Drosophila melanogaster: one gene and its partner. The protein of the gene in region 1 interacts with the protein of each later gene in a pairwise test. Each region holds a gene or a part of one and is shown on either strand. Other genes may lie near its edges. The genes, in order: CstF64 and su(f).

Region 1 (11,082 bases):
ACTGAGCCAGCCGAGGGAAAGCCTACACTGGCATTAACCACAAACGTTGTGCTCGACGCGGCCAGTGGCGGCGGCTGCTTCGAGTTCGCAAACTCCAGCAGCACCCGGGCATCGTCATCGTTCACCGCCGAGTGATGATGCAAAAGTTTTCGGCTGGTGGTTAGGTGCTTCTCCAGAATGCTACTGCTACTGCTCGTCGCTGGCGCCTCCAGTGTCTCACTCTTTACTTGCACCAGATCTCTTGATATGGATGGGTTGTTGCTGGGGGAAGATGGGGTGTCAGTCTTTTTTGTTGTCGTCGCTGTCGCTGGTGCTGTTTGTTTTGGTTTGATGACTAATTTCTTAGGCCCGCGATGCTGGGCGGGAGTTGAAAAGCGTTGCGGCAACAATGTGGTGGTCGCCTCAACCTCGACTTTCATGGGCGGCGGCTGAGTGAGATCCTCGGCAGATGTTTCGGTCGCCGTTGCAGAAGTCGATGCTGCAGCCGTGCTTGCCATTCGAATGACGCTAGTGGTGCCATGCTCAAGGCTGGGCTTTTGCTCCAGCTCTTCATTAGCGGCCATTGCCACGTTGTCGTAATCATCCAGAGGTTCTTCCTTCTCCACCTTGACGAGTGGTATGGGCGCCACAGCGGCAAACGGTCGACTTGCCCCAATGCGACTGGAGGCTACGATGTTGCCCATCAAATCGAGGTACTCATTCATATTGAGCGGAACATCGCTGAGTACGGTAATTCGATTCTTCTTGGACTTTGTAGTGGCGGTGGAGTTCGAATTGGAGGCAGAGTTGGACGCGGAATTGGAATGATTGTCCGCCAGATTGGAGGTGGAAGCTCCAGCCGCAGCACTTGTAGAAGGAGCCGTGCACAATGGAGGTGGTAGTGATGCCGCTGCATTTAGCTGCTCCTGTTTACCCTCCTTTTCCAAATCACTCTCACATCCGCTGCTAAGGCTCATGAACTCCTCCTCGTCCGACATGCGCTTGGAGCCTCGCTTCGGCTTCGTCTTACGGGCCTTTTTCGTTGTCTTGCTCATATTACGGCTGTGGCTGTTCTCCTCCCGCTCATCGTCCCCGTCTTCTTCCTCGGGCGGAGCATCATGCTCGTCCTCCTCCTCTTCATCCTCGTCATCCTCATCATCATCGTGTATGTGCAGAACACTCGGCGGGGATTGATAAATGCGTTCGATCACGGAAAACTCGCCGTCTTCCTTCTCCACACACTCTACAATATGCTTCGGTGTCTCCTGGACAATGAAGTCACCATTTTCCCGCTCAAGGTAGTGTGCCACCGGTGATTCTGCAAACCTCAATACCGAAGATGAGGTGGTGGGACAGGCCGGCGATGCGCAGGCCACTGCCGCTGCAGCATTAAGCAGTGCTCCAAACGGTGAGTTTGTCTGACGATTCGCACGATGACCAGATCCCGAGGTCGAGGGGTTGTTGGAGGAACTGCAGCTATTGCTGACCCCTAATCCGTAGGTCTGCAAGCTCGGTGGCTGTTGGTGACTCTGCTGGCTCGGCTGCGACTGCTGCGGGTGAGAATGCTGATGGTGTTGACCTTGATTTTGCACTAAACTGTGGATCTGCAACTGTTGCTGTGCCGATGGCGGTGGTGGGGGATTCAGGAATACTTCCGTATGAGGTTTACTGGGCTGCTTAACAGCTGCAGTTGCGTGTGAAGTTGAAGCCGCTGATGTCGTCGTTGGTGCCAGGGCTAGGTTGGGTTGCATGGCCACGCTTTGGGACTGTGGCTGCTGTTTGTTTTGGTTGTGCTGAGATCGTATTTGACTAATGGCGGCTCCATAGGCGGGAGGTGGTTTCTGGTGCGATTGCTGCTGGGTCTGCGGTGGAACAACCGTCTGCTGTTGCTGCTGCTGTTGCTGCGTAAATAGCTGTAAAGAAATTCGAGTTGCTTAAGAACGGAATTCAATTCGAAAATAAATACTAAATTTATATAAGCATAAAGGGTACAGTGGGTATACATTTTAATTTTGTTTCTTAATACTTTTCGTAAATAATATTACCCCTTTCTTTTCAAAGGTGTACTGCATTAAATCTTGATTGCACCCTTTAAGACGGGACAAATAACTTCTGGGACTCGGACTCACCTGCAACGGCGGAGGTGGGGGCAAAGCTGTGGCGTAGCTGAACTTCAGAGCAGGCTGATGCTGCGAATGTTGCTGCTGTTGCTGCGGGGACTGCTGCTGGTGTGGAAAGTGAGCCTGCTGTTGATGGCTGGCGAGGAAGTGCTGCTGAGGCACCTGCGGAATCACCAGCGCGGCTGTTGAGGTGGTGACACCACGCCCAAAGCCCGACGTCTGCGGCTGCTGCTGCTGCTGGTTGAAGCGATAATCCGGAGTGACCTGCGCTGGCTGGTACAAAGTGGACACGCTGCTCGTGGTGGGATGTGCGGATGTGCTGGCTCGCGCCTCAGTTGTGGGCGGTGAGCATTTCAGTGCTTTCATCGGTGGATTGCTCGGTTTGCTGCTGCTGAGGCTGCTGCTGTTGCTTGCTGAGGTGGAGGTGGGTGTGGAGCTGGTTGTCGAAGAGGCGGCTCCGTTGGAGCAGGCCGCCACGAGGGAGGAGGATAGCGGTGGTGGTGCTGGTGGCAGCACAGGCGCTGTTGCTGCTGATATGGTATTGACCACGACTGGTTTGACATCGCCGCCAGAAGGGGGTGATAAGACGGCCGGTTTCTCATCAGCACTGGCTTCGCCGCCGCTGGATCCACCTCCTCCAGATCCTCCTGTCAACATGGCGGCAGCGAGAACGCTGCCCATGCTGTTGCCACCGTTCCCAACGATCGTCATCTGCACCAGCGCCTTGATCACCTGCTCCTTGGGATGGGTCTCCAAGTGATCGGAGAGATTCATGCCCGCATGCAGGTACAATGTGCACACGGGGCATTGGACACTGTTGTCGACCATGATGACGATTTTAGATTGTTCTATGTGTGGCTCCTGCCTACTCCTACTCCTGCTCACTGGCTGCTCCTGCTCTCTGGGAGCCTGGCTTCTAGCTTTCTAGTGCGACGGATGACTGGCGTGGTTGCCCTTCAGAGTCATAAAACAGCGTATCTCCTTGGCTTGGCGTCCATCTTGCTCAATCCTCTGATTCGACGCGGGTGAGCTGCATTGGAGAATATAAAGAATGTCAGAATGTTGGTGCCAGAAATTACTGTACCAGTCCCTGGGCACATTCTGCGCTCCGATATCAACGTCTTCGGTGAAACGATACCCGATATGCGAAGAATGCGCCGTCCGGCGATCCAAGTGATCAAGTATCCACGGAATGCGTAATGTTTAATCTTAACAAACGCGTCTTTTTACAAAACCAATCCAAATTTATAAAGCTGATAATTTAATAATAAACCCTACTTTTCTTATAGAAAGGTGATTTGGACTGGAAGAACCCTTCGCACATCGTGCATCCTAACTGTTGAAAGTAACTCAATTAAAACCACAAATGTTTTACTATCGGGGGTAGCACAAATAATCAGTAAAAAAACGTTCGTTGGAAGTTTCTTGTAGTGAGTAATTTCTTTAAAAGCCAACAAAATAAAAGCATGATAAAAATAAAATTGTTTCAACAGCGAGTGCATTTCTAATATGATGATTATAATGATTTTGGTTTACCAGTAATTATTTTGTTCTTTAGAAAGCTACCAAATAAGTACAATTAAACATACAAGGCATATTTAATAATTGAGGATCGCAAAGGATCAAAATGAGAGAACAAGAGTCAATAAACTTTTCTAGCACAAAGCAGACCCAACCTCAACACAGTCACCCTTAAAGTCGATTCCACATTTTCGAAATCAGAGGTGCCATTTTAAATCGATTCTATTGATTTAGTAAAGCCATGTCTTATATTCGAATCCGTTCATATTAACCACATTCTCTGAGTAGAGCAACATAAGAATTCTGATTAGAAGGTCCTGTTTGGGCAATGGAAATGGCGGATTGGAATGCCGGTTGCAGATGGGTGAGACAACTTCTGGAGCAGCTTTTTTCTCTCGGGGAGCCAGAGCAGCAGGAAGAAACGGAATCAGAATCGGAAAAAAAGAGGCAACGACCCAGACCCAGCCTGCTGACGAGTTATTGGCCGTTCATCTGGTTTGCCTTTTGCTGCTTGCCTTTTGCGATAACTTTTGCTTTTATTTATAGTCTGTCTGCAGACCAACATTCACTTGTTTCTTTTTTGGGATTTGGCCATCTCTGCAAGGGTGGCTCTTTGTTTTGGGGGCGAAGGACAATGCGAGGGCTGCACATAAACAGCGGCAAACAAATGTCTACGTCTGTTGCTATTGATTTTTCCTTTGCCAAAGGTTACACACACCACGCACACACAACACCCACATGCACACATGCACACACAGACTGTCGAAAAATTGAGGAGCACACGGTGCGTAAATGCATTATGATTTATTCCAGTATCCCAGTTTGCAGCGACAACAATCGCCAGCCAACCTTTTTTCCAGTGTGCACACACGCGCGCTTGTTTGTGTGCGTTAATGTCGCTGATCTTGCCACTTATTGTACGATTTTTTTCTGCTGATTATTATTCACATAATTACAGACACACACAATTTAAAAATGCACATATTTCCGCTTTTGTTCACCAGCCATTGCCATCGATTTCGTTTTCGTTTCGTCCATGGAATGGAATGACACTTCCACAAAGAGAGGACGCCAGCTAATTACCAGTATCGATCGAGAGAGAGAGCGGCTGAGAGCGTATCCTTGGAAATGTAAAGAGCGTGGTGCACCTGCGGCCGCTTAAAGATGAAGAGGAAGTGGAGTTGGAGGAGGAACTGGAACAGGAGGACCAGGAGCCAGGAGGCTCTCTTCTCTTCTTTTTCTCGTTCAATGACACAGAAATCTTTCCTCTCGTCTTCCGCTTTGTGCGCTCCTTCTTCCAATATACAAGCGAGCTTTTTATATGTGCGAGTGCGACTGCGAGGCCATCGCTGCGTTTATCTCCCTCTGTCTGTGTGTGTGTGCGTTTGTGTGTGTTGGAGTGCGTGTGGCTACACACAAAGTAATATTTTCAAGCACGTTTTTCATGCACTTCGAGCCGTTTTTTGTCTATTGCCGCATAGAAAACGAATAAACGCCACTTTCATCTACAATTTGGTGTACAATTCGTGCATATTGGTGCACTTTTCACTATCAAAAACCGTTTAAATCGTTTTCACCTTGCGACAAGAAAAATTACAACACCAGGCGTTGGAGTGCTGCAAAACGTATGCGGGCTGCGGGAACTTACCAGCACTAGCAGTGGTGGTATTTTTGGCTAAGCAGGGCATTTAGCTATTTTCTTGCTAAATACTACGTTTCTAAGTGATGGCAATGGATGAGAATCCCAAAAATTAGACCAATACTGTTAATTATTTTCTCAGGTGTTTAGATAAGAAAATAAAATAAAATGGCTTGCGTATCTGTTATTACACTTTGTTTAATATTTTGCGTCCCATACCGCTTTATTTCCCAAAAAGTATATGAAAAGTATGAATCCCTGGTAAGGGAAATTATTCAAGGAAGAAGAAGAAACAGCAAGCCGGAACGCAGGGAATTTTTTAGACAAGTTTGTCAACGTTTGCTAAGATTTTGTCGAGTTTGTGCAGTAAATAATAACAAACAACAGATATGGCAGATAAGGCGCAGGAACAAAGTATAATGGACAAGTCCATGCGGTCGGTTTTTGTGGGGAACATACCCTACGAGGCCACCGAGGAGAAGCTAAAGGAGATTTTCAGCGAAGTGGGCCCGGTCTTGTCACTGAAGTGAGTTCCCTACTTAGAGCCATGCAATATCTCACTGTAAACCTCCTATTCTCAATCCCCCAGACTGGTCTTTGATCGGGAAAGTGGCAAACCCAAGGGCTTTGGCTTCTGCGAGTACAAGGACCAGGAGACGGCTTTAAGTGCCATGCGGAATCTGAATGGCTATGAGATCGGCGGCAGAACACTGCGAGTGGACAACGCGTGTACGGAGAAGTCGCGCATGGAGATGCAGCAGCTGCTTCAGGGACCCCAGGTGGAGAATCCCTATGGCGAGCCCTGCGAACCAGAGGATGCTCCCGAGCTCATCACCAAAACGGTGGCTTCCTTGCCGCCGGAGCAAATGTACGAGCTGATGAAGCAGATGAAGCTCTGCATCGTGAGCAATCCATCGGAGGCACGCCAGATGCTAATGCTCAATCCTCAGTTGGCGTACGCTTTGCTCCAGGCCATGGTGGTTATGAGGATCGTGGACCCTCAGCAGGCGCTCGGGATGCTCTTCAAGGCCAACCAAATGCCCCCCGTCTTGGGCGGCAATCCGCACCAGGGGCCGGGGAATCACACCATGATGGGTCAGCAACAGGTTCCGCAACAGCAGGTGCAGATCCCGCAGCAACAGCAACAGGCTCCCCAGCCACCAATGCCCGTTCCCGGACCTGGCTTCCCGGCCAATGTCCATCCGAACGATATCGATTTGCGCATGGTGCCGGGTGGACCCATGCCGATGGATCCCAGGATGATGGGCCGTGGCATGGACCAGGATTTGCGAGCTTCTCTACCCAATCCAGTGCCACCGCCGCTGATGGATCCCCGAGCTCGTGCCCAGATGCCCCCACAGCAGCAGCAGGGCGTTCCGCAGGCGCCACCGGCCCCCTATCCCAGCGATCCGCGCCAGCGTCCCATGGATCCCAGGTTAAGGGCAGGACCTGGTCCTCAGCAGCAGGCGCCGCCACAAGGAATCCCCCAAGCGCCGCCACCGACACAACAACAGCAGGCGGCCGCTCAGCAGTTGCAGAGCAGACTAGGCGCCCATGGAGTCCTGCCCTCGGATGCCTCCGACCAGGAGAAGGCTGCCCTCATCATGCAGGTACTGCAGCTGTCCGACGAACAGATTGCGCAGCTGCCCTCCGAGCAACGGGTCAGTATTGTCATGCTCAAAGAGCAGATTGCGAAGAGTACCCAGCGCTGAAACTACTCTGGCTGAAACAAATGAAAAATCACCATTTCGCTCATGCATACTATAGTACTTTCAACATTGAATCAATTAATAAAAAGAACATTTCAACACAAGGAGATTTATTAAGCGGAATAGAATGGTTTTCAAAGAGCGGAGACTAGGGTCTGGTGTAACTTCTGAACCGTCGTATTGAGCATTTGTCGCAGCACATCATCCTCGGCACAGCTGATGGCCTGGAAAGATTGTAGATTAACGATATTTTTCGATTTTAAAAAGCACCTTCGACGAACACTCACCAGGGTTTCCAGATTTATTTCCGCACGTTTACCGCTCACCGTCACTGGCAGCAGATCGCCCTCGAACATTTTTGGCACGCAGTTGTCGCCGAAGGTGTCCTGTAGCGTCTCGATTAGGCACTCCCGAAAGCGCGAGTCCTCTGACTTGGTTTGCTTTGTGGCACCCTTCAGATTTGTTCCGCCCAACTCCGATTGCATGATGCAGGCAAGAACGGCATCGGCGTACACATCATTCACATGCGTCGCTTGCCACTCCATCACAATGATTTTCTGCTCCACAGTTAGCTCGATGCAGCCGAACACGCGCAGCTTTCGCTCCGCCTCCAGCACCTCAACGCATCCGGCTCCAATGCGATCCAGCAGTAGCTCTAGAGTGCTCAGCGAGCTGCCCCAGGGAATCGACTGGCGTTGGGTTACAACAGACATGCTCATATCCGTGTATTCTGTGGGAATTATTTAAATGAATCGACATTTTTACAAAGAAACTAACTAACTATTACTTACTGCCCAGATCAGAAGGAGCCAAGAGGTGGTACTTAAAGTCGCGCTTAACCAGAACACCTGAGAGTTTGCTTCCCACCTCCGAGTTCTTGGCTGCGAGGCTTCCCATCACCTTGGCGGTTTTCTCGCCACGGAAATAAAGATCCACGGCATGTGTGTTTCGCGGGTTGTAGAATTTTATATCCGTGCTTGCATCTGCTTCGTATTCCCGCTGCAGGGCCAACTTCAGACGCGACATCTCGTTCTGCTCGCCGTGGACGAGCACGACATGCGTTGGCTTTAGTAGGCGGATGAATTCACTGGTCTGCTGGTAGTCCGTGTGAGCCGAAAACGATATGTAGTCGACGGACATGTTGAGCGGCAGCTTCTGGCCCGACAGTGTGGTGATCTCCTCCGGCTCGGAGAGAACGGCTTTGGCCAAAGTGCCCTCCACGCAGTAACCGGCTATAATCACTCCGTTCTTGGGATCTGTGCACCAGCTCTCGAAGAGCTCTCGCGACAATCCCGACTGCATCATACCCGGCGACGCCATGATTACGCAGGGTCCGATATCCTCGAAGTGATCGATACCCTTCAGGTTGGAAATGTGGCGGAAAACGAAGGGATTGTTCACAGCTATCTGTCGTCGAATTCGATCGTTCATAGCATTGATGTACGTCTGGTAGACAGCCATGCACTTCTTGGCCAAAGAGGAGGCATAGTAGATGGGAATCTCGTGCAGATCCGGGTTCTGCGACCAGAATTCATCCAGAATAAGTAGCAGTTCTTGGGCACGGCCCAAAGCAAATACTGGAATTAAGCATCTCCCGCCTTGCTGAACAATTTTCTGCACCAGCGAGGTAAATCGATTCTCTCGATCCTCTCTTTTCTCGTGAATGTGAGTGCCGTAGGTGGACTCTGTGATAAGAACATCCGGCTTCATCGGTGGCACTTCGGCAGCCATCAAATGTCGATCCTCCTGGCGCGAAAAGTCACCAGTATACAAGATCTTGATGCCAGCAATCTCGATCATGAACATGGCGGCACCCAAAACATGACCAGCAATATAGGCACAAAAGCGTACGCCCATCACATCGCGCTCCTCGTGGAAATTGATCGTCTCGATCTTCTCCATGGAGGCCTCCAGATCGGCTTCCGTGTATAGCATCTGTTCGGTGGATATGTTACTGATCTTGATGTAATCGGACAGCATCCATCGGTAAATGGCTTTCGTGGCATGGGTCATAAAGCAGCGGCCTTTAAAGCTGGTCTTCATGAGAAACCAAGGCAAGGCACCGCAGTGATCCAAGTGGAAACTGATAAATATAAGCATTCACCATTAAAAGTTCAATGCCCATTTAATCGCCGCAGTACTTACTGTGATATAAACAGCAGATCAATCTCATCCGCCTCTATTAGATCTACGTAGGGCAGGGCATCCATGCCGGACAATCCCGGATGGATTCCGCAGTCCAGCATTATCTTCTTGCCCTTAAATTCCAACATGATGCAGGAGCGTCCCACTTCCTGGCCAGCACCACTGAAATATAAGCGTTACCCTTGAGCTTCTATCTGGTTTAAATCAAGATTCCTTACAGTGGCTTGATCTGCAGCAGGTCGCTTTCCTCGTCTGGCATGCGTGCATCACCTGTTGCCTGCGTCATGATGTCTAAAATAATGTAATCAATAACAAACTTTTTTACAAATCGCCGGCAACAAAACGCTGTGCACGGCAGTGTGACCAAAGTTTGATGACTGCCGGTATGGACCTGTTCACACAAGGGCTGGAAAAGAACATTGTACTTTTTCCTTTTACATTAACATTAAGTTATTAGGACAATTTAATTTTCTCGTAAACATTTGTTCATTAAGTAGGGCCTAGATTAAATCTGGCTATTAATCTTTCCCGATACTCTCAACTCATTCCACTTGGGCCCCGCCTGACCTGGTCACACCGATTGCCACACGAAAGTCGAACAAATAAAGGAAAACTATTTTTGACAAATGGGAGGATCCAGCTACGATGGTGAGCAGTGGGACTTAATGGTTACCTTCCATATAAGCTATCTCTCCTCTCGACCTCCCGCACAGTGCTCAGGAAGCAGGCGCGGAGCCTGGAAAACGAGATCGACCTGAAGCTGGTGGCATTCAGCAAAATCGGAGCTGGCAGTGGAGGAGGTGGAAGTGGAGGACTAGGAGGCGTTGACACATCGCCGCTCCTGGGCGAGCACGTCTTCGATTCGCTGTCGGAGGAGATCGAGCAAATGCTGGAGAAGGTGCGATATGTGACCCAATGCCATGCGATGGTGCAGGGATTAAACCCGAAACAATGTAGTGCGGATTCCTTATTTATTTATTAAGCAAATTTCTGTGCCACCGGCTTTGTGCTACTATGAATTACTAATTTCCCACTAAGCCTTCCCAAAAATCATAATTTAATTGGCAGAATTGAGCACACAATTGAAAAACTGCCACGATTAACTTATATATATTGAAAACATTCCATCACTTTCCAATTTTTTATGAATCTGTATATATATTATACTTTATTATTCGAGTTTTTTTTATGCTCTGATCTTTGCTAAATTCTTTAAAAGAAAATGTTTAAGAATTCCTCTTTGAATTCGCTAAATGAATTCCATTTGATAAATACTTTAATAGATAATTCCAAGTAATGAATGAGTCACCGACTGAAGCACAAAATGTTCAAATTGTTTTGCTTGTTAAGTTATCTACGTTTTTTAGGCAATTCCCATATCTATAGAATTTCTATAGAATAGAAGGATTTCATTTCTATTTCATCCTTCTTAATTGCAGCTATCCTCGCTAAATGAGTCCATGTCCGATTTGCCCGCCTCTGGAGCAGCCGCCATGCACACACTGCAGAGGCATCGAGAGATCCTGCAGGGGTATCGCCAGGAGTTCAATAAGATCTGCGCCAATCACACAATGCGAATCGAGCGAGAGGAGCTGCTTCGTGGCTCAGGGTTGGCCACCAGCTCCGGCAGTCCATCCATCTCGGGCCTAAACCGGCGAGAAATGTACCTGAAGGAGAGCGGGCACCTCAACAGCGCCAGTCACTTGGTCAACGATCAGATAAATATCGCGATTGAGACGCGTGACCATCTTCACGCCCAGCGACAAGCATTCAAGCGGCTGCAGACCCGCTTTAACGATATCTCCAATCGATTCCCACTGATTTCCAGGTGAGACAGACGAGTTCTCAATTCAATTTATGCATATTTACTTATCCAATTATTTGTTGTATATGCACAGTCTCATTCAGCGCATCAACATTAAAAAGCGACGCGATTCGCTGATCCTGGGAGCAGTTATTGGCTTCTGTG
Region 2 (13,662 bases), on another chromosome or scaffold:
GCACTTATGGGCGGTTTGTGAATGAAAACGCTTAGAGTGAAAGGGTATACTAGATTCGTTAAAAAGTATGTAACAGGCAGATGGAAGAGTGTCCGACTATATAAAGTATATATATTCTTGATCAGGATCAATAGCCGAGTCGATCTAGCCATGTCCGTCTGTCCGTTTTAACGTCGAGATCTCAGGAACTAGAATGTTAAGATAAACCATACTGATTCTAGAGACATCACGCCCACACTTTCGATACATTTTTAAATATTTTCTCATAATATCTATCGATATCCCAGATATCCTACAGCATTTTCTCTCTGGTCTTTAATATTCACCCTTTCACTTTCTCCTATAGTTATGATCGGTCTACCACAAAAGATTTAAATTTTTTTGTGTCGCTTGGTATATAACATTTGGACCTATTTCGACTCGACTCAACAACAGTTACTGTGAGCAAATAGATAACTGCGCAAATACAGTTGCTAGAAACGCAAAAAAATTTAGATGAAATGAGACCTGGAGAATAGAGATACCAGTAATTAACGTTACACCTGTATAAGCAGGTCAATCGCTGGAAGCGACACAGACATCGAGAAACAGAACAGCATGCAAGCAATGTGCAGCAAGTAAAAGTCAAGGGAGATACGGCTGTGAACTTTGACAACGGCATGATTACCAATAAAGAACGCTATAATCGATTGCCTTCTTTACTAGATACGCGCACGAAACGGCAAATACATATTTATATATTCTGTGCCGAATACACAAAATTGTAGATATATTTTCTTAGTTGAATACAAATTCACATCAGTCCTTTTTATAGGTATATTACACTCGGAAAGTAAATGATTCCTTAAAAGGTAGCAGGTAACAGGCAGGAGGAAGCGTAACCACCGCAATGAAGCATATTAATTATTGATTACGATCACGTTCTCTCTTGTATTTATCGCATTAGGTAGGTATTTAGGAGGTATTTTTGTTTGATTTGCTTAATATGTTATTTTAGAGTTTCTGTGTGTGCTTTTTTGCCATTGCAGAACTTATTAACATTTTTATAATCAATTTTAGGGCAGGGGTTCCTCCAGGGGAGTAAATCTTTTAACAGCTAAAACAAGCTATAAGGTATTGGTATTGACTTAAAGTGTTGACACCATAAACAACCTGCCATCAGCTGGAATGAAGACGTGTGATTGTGATACATATTGAGCCAAATCACTAACGTTAGACATGCAGAGGCATGTCTGGTAGTAACTATCAAAAAGGCCTTTAAATGTTTATATGTATATGGGTAAATTTTCAGTTGGCTATATTTATAATTAATATATAATATAATTAAAACCCCACCAAACCTGGGGAAGTAGTGCACATGAGTTGGCCACACATCGCGAAACTGCGCATATCCTGACGCTAATAATGCAGGCTCCCGAGATTTTTTCACCGAGGGTATCCTCTTTCGTCGCCGATGGCTTGCATTTCGGGATACACATCCAGGTCCAAGCTGCTGCTGCTCCCTATAGTGGTTAGCTACTTCGTGACAAAAGCGATCCATCCAAAAACACTTTGTATTGTACTCTCTTTTCATGGTCATCCGTGAAAAATACTGGCTTCCACTGCCCAGCGCAATGCCTTCCACAACCAGGCCGACAGAGGAGCACATGCCTCAGGCCCTTGGAAAATTTTACGGCATCAAGCCAACAGACGGGATATTAGACCGCTTAGCGCGCTTCAAGCCAACTTGCTCGTCGGATCCAACAATGTAAACTGCGTAGGTTGACTGATTGATGGCTTCTCCTCCTCGCCTAATGTATCCGAATTTGACTGAACATTTATTGAACAACCGAATAATACAATTTCTGTTAGCAACAGCAGTTTGCGGTTATTTGTTATCACGTCAGCTCGCGATTTATTTTTGTTTGTTTGACATCGGATTGGAGTTGAAAAAGTAACGAAAGGCTGAATTGTTGGGTTGCTAAACTGTATCTATTAATACCCTCAAAAAAATCATTTAAATATGTATAACCACTAAAATAATTTTGGTACACAAAAAATTGTGTTCGATTATAAATAAAAAACTTCATTTTAATCATATCATTAATAATAATGAATTTTGCAGTAAACAAAGTAGACTCTTTAGTACGGTTCCCCCCGAATGACCCGACTGAAAAAAACGATAATCACTAAATTACTGCTCCGTGAAAAAAAATTCAGGGTAGACAAATTAAATTGAAAAGATCCCGACGAACACAGCCAACTATATCTACTCTCACATTTAGTGCCCTCTTTTACTTCCACACCCACACCCAACAATCCAAACACACTTAGGCTTAGTGGGCGTGGTCCACCCTTGATAGAAAAATTACTAACGTTCATGTCGTTAACCATTGTAACTGCAAACACCAACTTTTGCATACACCAACACCTCTTTTACAAGCCAATTTTGTCCAATTTGGACATCTCGACTCACGATAAACAAGACAGAATAAACGAGACAGAACGAACTATGTCAAAAATCGTTAGTAGAGTTGTTGGATAGGTCCAGAGTTATACAATCTAGGAGCAAGAACTCGCAAGCCGTCGAAAGACACTATCTAACGATGTCCCAGGGATTATTTTAAAAAAATGCACCACATAATTATAAAGAAAATTCGTATCATAACCGGTTATACAAGATGGCTGAAAAGTAGCTTGAACGAATCGGTTTTTGGCCCGATAAACTAACAAACAAAAACAAGTTGAGTTAACCGACGGTAACAGGAAAAAATCAGAACAAATTTCTGATGACGATTATCATTATAATTTCCATAAAATGAGTTATAAACAATAGAGAATGCGATAGTCGAGTTCCCCAGCTATCGTTACTCAGGTGGAACGACATATTTCAATATGTCTTTTAGAATATCGGCAGAAATTGGAAACCAAAATAATAAAATGGAAACTAATTTAAAAATTATTCCAATGTAGGCGTGACAGTTTTGGGTGGTTTGTGGGCGGTAGAGTGTGCGTGCCAAAATTTTTTTTTGCGAATTGGTAGATATGTACAAGACTTATAAAACCATGAAACAAATTTTTTTAGTTTTGGGCGGTTTGTGGGCGTTAGAGTGGTAATGGTTAATCTCAACATTCTAGCTTTTATAGTTCCTGAAACTGAAGCTATAAACGCTTTATTCTACCTGTTACATACTTTCCAACGAATCAACTATACCCTTTTACTCTACAAGTATTTTTTATCTTTGTATTTTGTATTTCGATGTCGTAGAATTCAGAAATTTTTTGTATGCTCTTTTAATGCGGTATACATATACATATATATGTACAATATTCCTGATTAGGATCACTAGCCGAATTGATATGGTAAAGTCTGTCTGTCCGTAAGGGGGCTGTCACCTCGAAAACTTTAAAAGCTTTGAAGTTAAGATAATGTATGCATTTCTTTCCTTTTTTCTGATTTTCGAAACGTAACGTTTTAAACGTTTTAATCATTCGTTAATCAAACAGCAATTCATATAACAGAACGTTATATGAATTTTTGTTAAGTGTTCTAAATATTTTGGTAACACAGACAGGACGAAATGAATTTTCTATCTATTAAATAAATTGATATTTAAAGAAAGCAAATTAATTTAGAAATATATTGACAATTTCCAACTAATTTATCTCTGTTATGGAAAATTAGTTTAGGAAAAAAGTTAAAATAACAAAAGGAACCGCTATAGATTTTCTCCACTAGCGCCACTCAACTAAGGGGAGAACGAGGGAGAAACTTTGAAACTTGATTGTCATATCCATAAAATTGTTTAGAATAACAAGAGAGAATGCTATAGTCGAGTTGCCTGAATATCAGATACCCGTTAACCCAGATATTTTTCTGCGATACCAAAAGATGTTGGGGAATAAAATGAGAAAAAATTTCAACAATTTTCAAAAGTGGGGCGTGACCGGTTTGTCGGCTTAAGGGCGTCACAGTGGGTGTGGCAAACAGTTTTTTTTTGCACATCGATCGGAATTTACAAGACTAATAAAGATGTGAAAAAATATCAATATATTTTTCAAAAGAGTGCTTGTGGCATTTTTTCGTGGGCTTGTGGGCGTTGCAACATGGATCAACAAACTTGCGCTGCGTCTTTGTCTCTAGAATCTGCATGCTAAATCTCCGCCTTCCAGCTTTTATAGTTCCTGAGATCTCGACGTTCATACGGACAGACGGACATGGCTATATCGACTCGGCTATTGATCCGTTATACAGTCGGAAACGCTTCCTTCTGCGTGTTACATTCCTTTAAACGAATCTACGTTACTCTACGAGTAACGGGTATAATAACCAAATAAAAAAGTCTAAACATATTTAAAAAATTTGGTTGGCGTTCGAATGAGATGGTGGAGGTATTTTGGCAAAGCGATACAAAGTAGCAAAAAATCAAAAAATGCAATGAAAAATAATTATAACATTTCACAAAAGTGTGGGTGTGAACCTTTTGGGCGGTTTGCCGTCGTTAGGGTGTGCGAATATTTCAAAACTTGCCCACGTACCACTATGTGAAATTTTACCACTTTTTCTGCCCAAAATGAATAACTCCAGGACGTTGAAAGATATTCAGATTGGGTTACAATATATCCGTTCTGAAACCGCCCCTTATATTTGTTGTAGTTTGTAACTCTAGAACGGATAAAGATATTTAAATTTTTTTGCCATTATCTTTTATGATACCAAAAATTGTGGCCGTGGCACCGCCTCTTATATTTAATTAACTAATTTTGTATAGGTATTTCCCTAATTTCGTATGCTTTTTCTAGTCCAAGCAAAGAACAACTGATTTCGTGGTAGTGGTTGCATATTGAATTATTTTACAAAAAAGTAAACACAAACATAATAACAAATTAATGAATCAATTCACCAACAGGCATTTTTAACTCCCTTTTAGCTAAAATTACTCTGCATTTGAACAAGTAGGGTAAGGACCTAAAAACTATAATTTCTCCGAAAATCGCAAAGAATGCACTTTTTAATTACAACTATCTAAACAAGAATTAAATAAGCTACAAAATAAGGTATATTTCATGAATGAGTTTTGTTGCATTCGCTTTAAATCCCTTTTGAAAGTTAAGTTTTTATAACAAAAATATTTTAGTAAGACAACATACATTTTTACGGTATAAAGTCCCCTTAATACACGATTTTTTGATAGTTTTGATAGTCAAAAACACATAATACAAACCACATTGAATAAAACTAATTTTGCAGAATGAAAAAACGCTATGGCTCAAAAGATATATAAATATTTGTATCAAGGGAAAAACTTATCGTTGCAGACAAAATTTTTTTTGTGCTTGCAACACAGCTTAGAGAATGATTTCTTTGTTTATTTATTTCTGGTATGCAGGAATAAACATTGGCCAATATAACAGAGACAAAGCTAATGCATATGTGAGGGATACACACACACAGTGTTTGTTCTACTTTGAAACACAAAACCGCGTCAGTGTGACACACTTATTGCGCCTTAGCACACACACCCACAGAGGTATTAGGTAAGGGAGAGTGACCCAGGAACGGTAATAATTTCACTAACTTGTCGAAGTCTATAAACCGTAAATATACCGCTAGGACATCAACAACAGCTGTTGGCCTCTAGGTCTGCAATGATTGTGATGCTCTCCGGAAACACGCACATGTGTGTGTGTCTTGTCTACCTTGGCAGTTTAATAAATCGGTTTCAATGAATGATACTAATACTAGTTGCGAATTTAACTCGAATTATCTCTCGGCTAATAAATGCGCTTGGTTTCGTTTGATTGCCACTCCTGATTGTTTAGCGTTTGTTTTAAAACTTTTTTGACACTTACCCAATGTGACCGCATACTGGTACTGAATTAATATCGATAAATATACCAATCTATTTCTAGGGTTAGATTCTGGGTATTCCTTAAACTGTTAAATTGTGGGAATGTTGAACCCTCAACATGAAAAAGAAACAACAAAAGAAAAAATTAAATTTCAATAAAACATTTCTCTGTAAGTAAATTCTTAAAACAATTTAACACTACAGTTGCTGAAGAAAGGTGCGTTTCACTTTCTATTTCTTATAGCAAAAAATAAGTTCCGTTAACCTTGTTGAATTTTGTTATCACTTGGACTCGTGTCTAAAACATTTAAGAACAATCCATTGACTTAAATTATAATGTTTTCGTGTGTTTTCATAGTTATGTTTGTTCGAATACCACAATACCAAGAATACCTTTACCTCATATTATGTTATATTGTTTTAATGTATAATGTTATAGGGTAATCAGGAAAAATTCGTACCTAGTTACGCTACTAGGCATACAATTCCAGGCTTCCTAAAAATGCCTTTTTATTAAATATTACCTCTTTTACTTACTATTACATAGAACTTAAACGGTTCAAAGTATCTGTTAACAACCTTCACCTTAGCAACGTACAGAAAAATGTTTCAGTGGAAACAAGCTATAAAAAATATTGCTTCTGCTTGAATTCATTATTTACAGATTTAGTACCTTTAAAGTATGTTAAAACCATATATCTTTTTTATTTATAGTTTATAATCAGTGACCGCTGTACTACACATCCCAAATCTTGGGATTTTAATGGTAAGGCCCGCGATGTGATTGGCGATGACACTATCGCAGTTACATCCAATCAGTCGTCGATATCTAAGCAGCCGCATTGCAACTTCTAAAAGAATTCGGAAAAGCGGCATCCAAGCGTTGCTTTAGGTAATTGCGTAGCGAAAGTTCAACGGAAGAAAGGAACTTTCCCGGGCCAAGGAGCAGCGCAAGCAGGACTCAACGACAATTTGCAAAGACTATTAGCAATGTCTTCGGCCAGAGACCTTATCAAAGTCGACATAGTAAGTAAAACATTGGCTTTATTTGGATGGTAACAACATATTTTTACTTATCGATGACAAGGAATGGGGCATGGAGCGCCTGGTGCGAGCTCAGCAAGTGGTGGAGCTGCGGCCCTATGACATCGAGTCCTGGAGTGTCATGATCCGAGAGGCCCAAACGCGGCCAATCCACGAAGTACGCAGTCTTTACGAGTCGCTAGTTAATGTGTTTCCGACAACCGCTCGGTACTGGAAGCTATACATTGAGATGGAGATGCGCAGCCGGTACTATGAACGCGTGGAGAAACTTTTTCAACGCTGCCTAGTCAAGATTTTGAACATCGACCTCTGGAAGCTCTATCTTACCTACGTGAAGGAAACCAAGTCGGGTCTAAGTACTCACAAGTAACTGTTATACCTTATTTAAATAATTCACATAATTTGACATCTTAGAAACTATTATAATTTTAGTCAAAACTTGCAATGCAGCGAGCATATTGTTTTTTTTGATGCACAACATTTGTGTTATTCTGACACGCTTATTTTATTGGACTTATCTCTTTTCTCAGAGAAAAAATGGCCCAGGCTTATGATTTTGCACTGGAGAAAATCGGCATGGATCTACACTCGTTCAGCATCTGGCAGGATTACATATACTTTCTGCGGGGCGTTGAAGCAGTGGGCAACTATGCAGAGAACCAAAAGATCACAGCAGTGCGCCGCGTCTATCAAAAGGCTGTAGTCACACCTATCGTGGGCATCGAGCAGTTGTGGAAGGACTATATCGCATTCGAGCAAAACATAAACCCGATTATATCAGAGAAGATGAGTCTGGAGCGATCTAAGTGAGTGTTATACGCAGAGTTTGCTAAATGTTCTTTCTAAATTCCAACTTAAAACCAGGGATTACATGAACGCTCGTCGTGTTGCCAAAGAGTTGGAATACCACACAAAGGGTCTCAATCGCAATCTGCCAGCCGTCCCACCCACACTCACAAAAGAGGAGGTGAAGCAAGTGGAGCTGTGGAAGCGCTTTATCACGTATGAGAAGTCTAATCCCTTGCGCACTGAAGATACGGCCCTAGTAACCCGTCGTGTCATGTTCGCCACGGAGCAATGTTTGCTGGTGCTCACCCACCACCCGGCAGTGTGGCACCAGGCCTCCCAATTCCTGGACACCAGTGCTCGCGTGCTCACCGAAAAAGGCGTGCGTACTAGTGTTGAAAACATTTCACCTATTCTCTGCGTTCCTGTAGTGAATCAAATAGAGTGGGTTATGGCCTTTGCTTGGTGGTGGGCAAAGGTCAAAACCAAAAACGAATCAAATATAGTCTCTTGTTTGCTAAGAAGTGTCGCCCCTCGGGTAAAGGAGCACGCAGTGGCACAACACAGATGGCTTTCCGTGGCTTGCCCCGTTGCCCCTGGCCAGGCCGCACGCGTTTTACTCTTATAACTAAGTCGAACTTTTGTGTATTTACATGTTTAATTACTTATTAAAACATTGCAGGACGTCCAGGCGGCCAAGATTTTTGCGGACGAGTGTGCTAATATACTGGAACGGTCTATAAACGGCGTGCTAAACCGAAATGCGTTGCTATATTTTGCCTATGCGGACTTTGAAGAAGGACGGCTCAAGTACGAGAAGGTGCACACTATGTACAACAAGCTGTTACAGTTGCCAGACATTGATCCCACATTGGTAGGAACACACATATTGAATATGTTTCATCAAATATTTGATACCATCGAAATTTAATACTCCAGGTCTATGTTCAGTACATGAAGTTCGCCCGTCGTGCTGAGGGGATCAAGTCGGCCCGTAGCATATTTAAGAAAGCTCGGGAGGACGTAAGGTCGCGCTATCACATTTTCGTGGCCGCTGCTTTAATGGAGTATTATTGCTCCAAGGACAAAGAAATTGCGTTCCGCATCTTCGAGCTGGGATTGAAGCGTTTTGGTGGCAGTCCAGAGTACGTGATGTGCTACATTGACTACCTGTCCCATCTAAACGAGGACAATAATACGCGCGTCCTGTTTGAACGGGTACTTAGTTCAGGTGGTTTGTCGCCGCACAAGAGTGTTGAGGTCTGGAATCGCTTCCTCGAGTTCGAATCTAATATTGGGGATCTCTCCAGCATCGTTAAGGTCGAACGTCGCCGTAGTGCCGTTTTCGAAAACGTGCGTTCTTTTACTACTTTATTTTAGAAATATGTTATAATAATATTTGTTTAAAGCTTAAAGAGTATGAGGGCAAGGAGACCGCCCAGCTGGTTGACCGTTACAAATTTCTGGACCTTTACCCCTGCACCAGCACCGAGCTCAAGTCCATAGGATATGCTGAGGTGCGTAACGGAATTTATTTATTTATAAAAATATAAGAAGAAAGAAGAAACAAACTAGCATCCATAACCGCGAAATAATTGGATTCTATTGTTATACTACATCAAACGATAACATGTGATCGTGTAGTAATCGCCATAACAGTTTAATGTCTGAATACATTTTTTGAAAATTGATTTCATTCATAATTTTTCCCATTTGAGACAGTTTGTAGGAACTCATTGGAAAGGAAAGAGCAAGACTATTTTATTTTATATGTGCGAAGAAGAAAGAGATAGCATATAGACTTACTGAATTTTAAAAAACATTTTTTAGCACAGACTGTTTTAAAAGTGTTCATTACGACATTTTTCTTCTTATAGCCAATCAAACTTTTCACAATACTTTTTATAGGGTCCACAAAATGTTTGTCTTTAATTACTTGTCTTACTTTAATCACCTCGTTCTGCAGAATGTGGGCATTATACTGAACAAGGTGGGTGGTGGAGCTCAAAGCCAGAACACCGGAGAGGTCGAAACAGATAGCGAGGCAACGCCACCATTGCCACGTCCGGATTTCTCCCAGATGATTCCATTCAAGCCGCGTCCATGTGCTCATCCTGGTGCCCATCCACTTGCAGGTGGTGTATTTCCGCAGCCGCCAGCTCTGGCCGCTTTGTGCGCCACCCTGCCTCCACCGAACTCCTTCCGTGGACCGTTCGTCAGCGTAGAGCTACTATTCGACATTTTCATGCGTCTCAATCTTCCGGACTGTGAGTGTCCCTGATTGAAATTCTCTTCAATTAACATTGAACAATTATCTTACTCAGCTGCACCGCAACCGAATGGAGACAACGAATTGTCGCCTAAGATCTTCGATCTGGCCAAGTCGGTTCACTGGATCGTGGATACAAGTACGTATACGGGGGTGCAGCACAGTGTTACGGCCGTTCCACCGCGCCGGCGACGACTGCTGCCTGGGGGCGATGATAGTGACGACGAACTGCAGACCGCTGTGCCGCCCTCCCACGATATATATCGCCTGCGTCAGCTAAAGCGTTTCGCCAAGTCTAATTAAGAAACGTTAAAAAAAAACCGATTTTTACTTTTTTCTTTCAATTAATTTACAAGAAACAAGAAATCCCAATAAAGCAAGCCATATTAATTAGGTTTAGTTTTGTTGGAAGCTGCTTGGGAATTTGCCTTCATGCTTTGGCATCACCGGTTGTAGACATTTAGGGTTGCATTGAACGATAGCATTAAATTTGTAATATTTTTCTTAATGTAAGTACACACTAACCTTTGCATCCATTTAAACATTTTAAGTGTACATTTGTTGTAAATAACTATTCAAGACAAAGTGCATTTTTCGATACTACATAATATTTTTTAATTTAGGCCAAAAAAATGTTATACATAACTCACAATAGTATATCTGTATACGTAAACATTAAAATCTCAATATAATGGTATAAATGGTACATGTTTATATCAATGAATTTCTGCATAATTTAAAGTTAGAGAGTAGAATGTAGACCTAGGAAGCACTCCTCCATTACCTCAGCTGGTAAGCATCGTCTACGGTGCTTATAAAGTCCAGCATATTGGGCGAAACTTTTTCCGCAGGGCCAGCATGAGTCGCGCTTCTCGGAGCGATGGAGGGTCAGATGGGCGTGGGCAGTGCCTAGCCCACCACAAACTCCCGGGAACGGACACAGCTTGTCCCGAATATTAAGATGGGCACGCAAGGAACGGTCCCTTGCGTGGGCCGTATAAAACTCCTAGTCGCACCTATTGCTGGTTTCTGTGTCGCTTAACATGCTGATTTAACTCGGGAGCAATGCTCGCACACGTAGGGCAGTTCCTTGGTGTGACTTCTTTCATAGACCCGCAAAGCCGTCGTGCTAAAAAACTTCTTAGGGCAGTTGTTACAAACGTGTATATGTAAATGTAATGTAAATGTAAAGATGTAAAAACTTCAGTCTACAAATATGGCATATAGGGGCCAGGTTTGGATTCTGCCGCAGGCCATCCTCATCGTTTAGTTTTGTACTTTATGCCTCCGGATCCAACCATCTGTCACGCTGAAGCTTCGGCCTCAATAAGTATTCTAGGCATTCGTTATCCGACGCCAGGAGTCGCGGCACAGCTCCATGTTGAGCAATTGTTCATGCGACTGTTTTTAGAGACGAGGCTCCGAGCGCTAGTGTACATGGTGGGTCGCAAGACGTTGAATTGCGATAAGAATAAGTTTAATCTTCATTTTATAACTGTGGTATTCAATGCAGTGACGAAGGCGACTACTTTATGCACAGTGAGAAATATTCAAAAGTGAGGAAACCAATAGTCATATACCAAAGGTATCAAAAACTAAAACGATTGCATGCCAAGACGCTGAAGAATATGAACTAATATAAGATGCGCTCTATTATAGTTTTCTTAGTACTGTATCCGTTTTTGGCTCTCAAAACCATACTTAACTCATACCGACCGGCCTATCCCACTAAACGCATTCTTATCAAAAATTCAGGATACAATTATAGCTTGGAGACTGTTTGTATTTGTATTAAACGATAAAATCGATGGTCTTTTTTTTTTTGCAAAATCAACACAGCCTTCAGGATCTAGACCAAATATAGAAAAATGCAAAGCCCATTAACTACCATTTAAACAACAAACGAGAGAGAATGCTATAGTCGGGTTCCCCGACTATCAGATACCCGTGTAAGGGCGCTGTCACCTCGAAAACTTTAAAAGCTTTGAAGTTAAGATAATGTATGCATTTCTTTCCTTTTTTCTGATTTTCGAAACGTAACGTTTTAAACGTTTTAATCATTCGTTAATCAAACAGCAATTCATATAACAGAACGTTATATGAATTTTTGTTAAGTGTTCTAAATATTTTGGTAACACAGACAGGACGAAATGAATTTTCTATCTATTAAATAAATTGATATTTAAAGAAAGCAAATTAATTTAGAAATATATTGACAATTTCCAACTAATTTATCTCTGTTATGGAAAATTAGTTTAGGAAAAAAGTTAAAATAACAAAAGGAACCGCTATAGATTTTCTCCACTAGCGCCACTCAACTAAGGGGAGAACGAGGGAGAAACTTTGAAACTTGATTGTCATATCCATAAAATTGTTTAGAATAACAAGAGAGAATGCTATAGTCGAGTTGCCTGAATATCAGATACCCGTTAACCCAGATATTTTTCTGCGATACCAAAAGATGTTGGGGAATAAAATGAGAAAAAATTTCAACAATTTTCAAAAGTGGGGCGTGACCGGTTTGTCGGCTTAAGGGCGTCACAGTGGGTGTGGCAAACAGTTTTTTTTTTGCACATCGATCGGAATTTACAAGACTAATAAAGATGTGAAAAAATATCAATATATTTTTCAAAAGAGTGATCGTGGCATTTTTTCGTGGGCTTGTGGGCGTTGCAACATGGATCAACAAACTTGCGCTGCGTCTTTGTCTCTAGAATCTGCATGCTAAATCTCCGCCTTCCAGCTTTTATAGTTCCTGAGATCTCGACGTTCATACGGACAGACGGACATGGCTATATCGACTCGGCTATTGATCCGTTATACAGTCGGAAACGCTTCCTTCTGCGTGTTACATTCCTTTAAACGAATCTACGTTACTCTACGAGTAACGGGTATAATAACCAAATAAAAAAGTCTAAACATATTTAAAAAATTTGGTTGGCGTTCGAATGAGATGGTGGAGGTATTTTGGCAAAGCGATACAAAGTAGCAAAAAATCAAAAAATGCAATGAAAAATAATTATAACATTTCACAAAAGTGTGGGTGTGAACCTTTTGGGCGGTTTGCCGTCGTTAGGGTGTGCGAATATTTCAAAACTTGCCCACGTACCACTATGTGAAATTTTACCACTTTTTCTGCCCAAAATGAATAACTCCAGGACGTTGAAAGATATTCAGATTGGGTTACAATATATCCGTTCTGAAACCGCCCCTTATATTTGTTGTAGTTTGTAACTCTAGAACGGATAAAGATATTTAAATTTTTTTGCCATTATCTTTTATGATACCAAAAATTGTGGCCGTGGCACCGCCTCTTATATTTAATTAACTAATTTTGTATAGGTATTTCTCTAATTTCGTATGCTTTTTCTAGTCCAAGCAAAAGAATGGTAGCTGTTAAGATGATTTTGGCTTGATGTTTGATGCCAATTTGATGTCCTCGAGATGTTGGTTATATACATTTATTTATATATTTAAGTATGTCCTGTGTGTTAAAGTTTTCAATAGTTGTAAGTGGATGGCTTGTTGCGGTTCTTGCTTGGCTGTCAGCGAGTTCATTTCCTGGTGTTCTTAATAATGCAGAATTTTGCTCTTTTATTTTTATGAGTTCTTAGGGCCTCAATAATGGCTAGTATGATGTGCCGTTTGATAAGTTAAATTTCGTAGTTAATAGCGAAGCTGGTAATTTTGTTTGTTTGAGATCCATCTGTGTAAATGTAGGTCTAGGAAAGA

Evidence for each region.
Region 2: the proteins of CstF64 (region 1) and su(f) interact in a two-hybrid assay, tested with the Drosophila melanogaster proteins (2 studies listed by BioGRID).

What each region holds. Positions count from the first base shown.
Region 1 is NT_033777.3:18,654,057-18,665,138, forward strand, and holds CstF64 (cleavage stimulation factor 64 kD subunit), read left to right. Parts: upstream 1-5,561; 5' UTR 5,562-5,648; coding exon 5,649-5,785; intron 5,786-5,848; coding exon 5,849-6,971; 3' UTR 6,972-7,070; downstream 7,071-11,082. Other genes in the region: CG31224 (uncharacterized protein), read right to left, coding at 1-1,892, 2,109-2,927; Cpsf73 (cleavage and polyadenylation specificity factor 73), read right to left, coding at 7,103-7,192, 7,256-7,698, 7,760-9,051, 9,114-9,275, 9,332-9,399; Gos28 (golgi SNARE, 28 kDa), read left to right, coding at 9,740-9,761, 9,827-10,011, 10,553-10,941, 11,012-11,082.
Region 2 is NC_004354.4:23,090,875-23,104,536, forward strand, and holds su(f) (suppressor of forked), read left to right. Parts: upstream 1-6,534; 5' UTR 6,535-6,821; coding exon 6,822-6,857; intron 6,858-6,918; coding exon 6,919-7,241; intron 7,242-7,405; coding exon 7,406-7,681; intron 7,682-7,739; coding exon 7,740-8,139; intron 8,140-8,343; coding exon 8,344-8,535; intron 8,536-8,600; coding exon 8,601-9,014; intron 9,015-9,070; coding exon 9,071-9,178; intron 9,179-9,627; coding exon 9,628-9,928; intron 9,929-9,985; coding exon 9,986-10,233; 3' UTR 10,234-10,557; downstream 10,558-13,662. Other genes in the region: CG17159 (uncharacterized protein), read right to left, coding at 1,341-1,648. UniProt on the Drosophila melanogaster protein: Essential protein, may play a role in mRNA production or stability.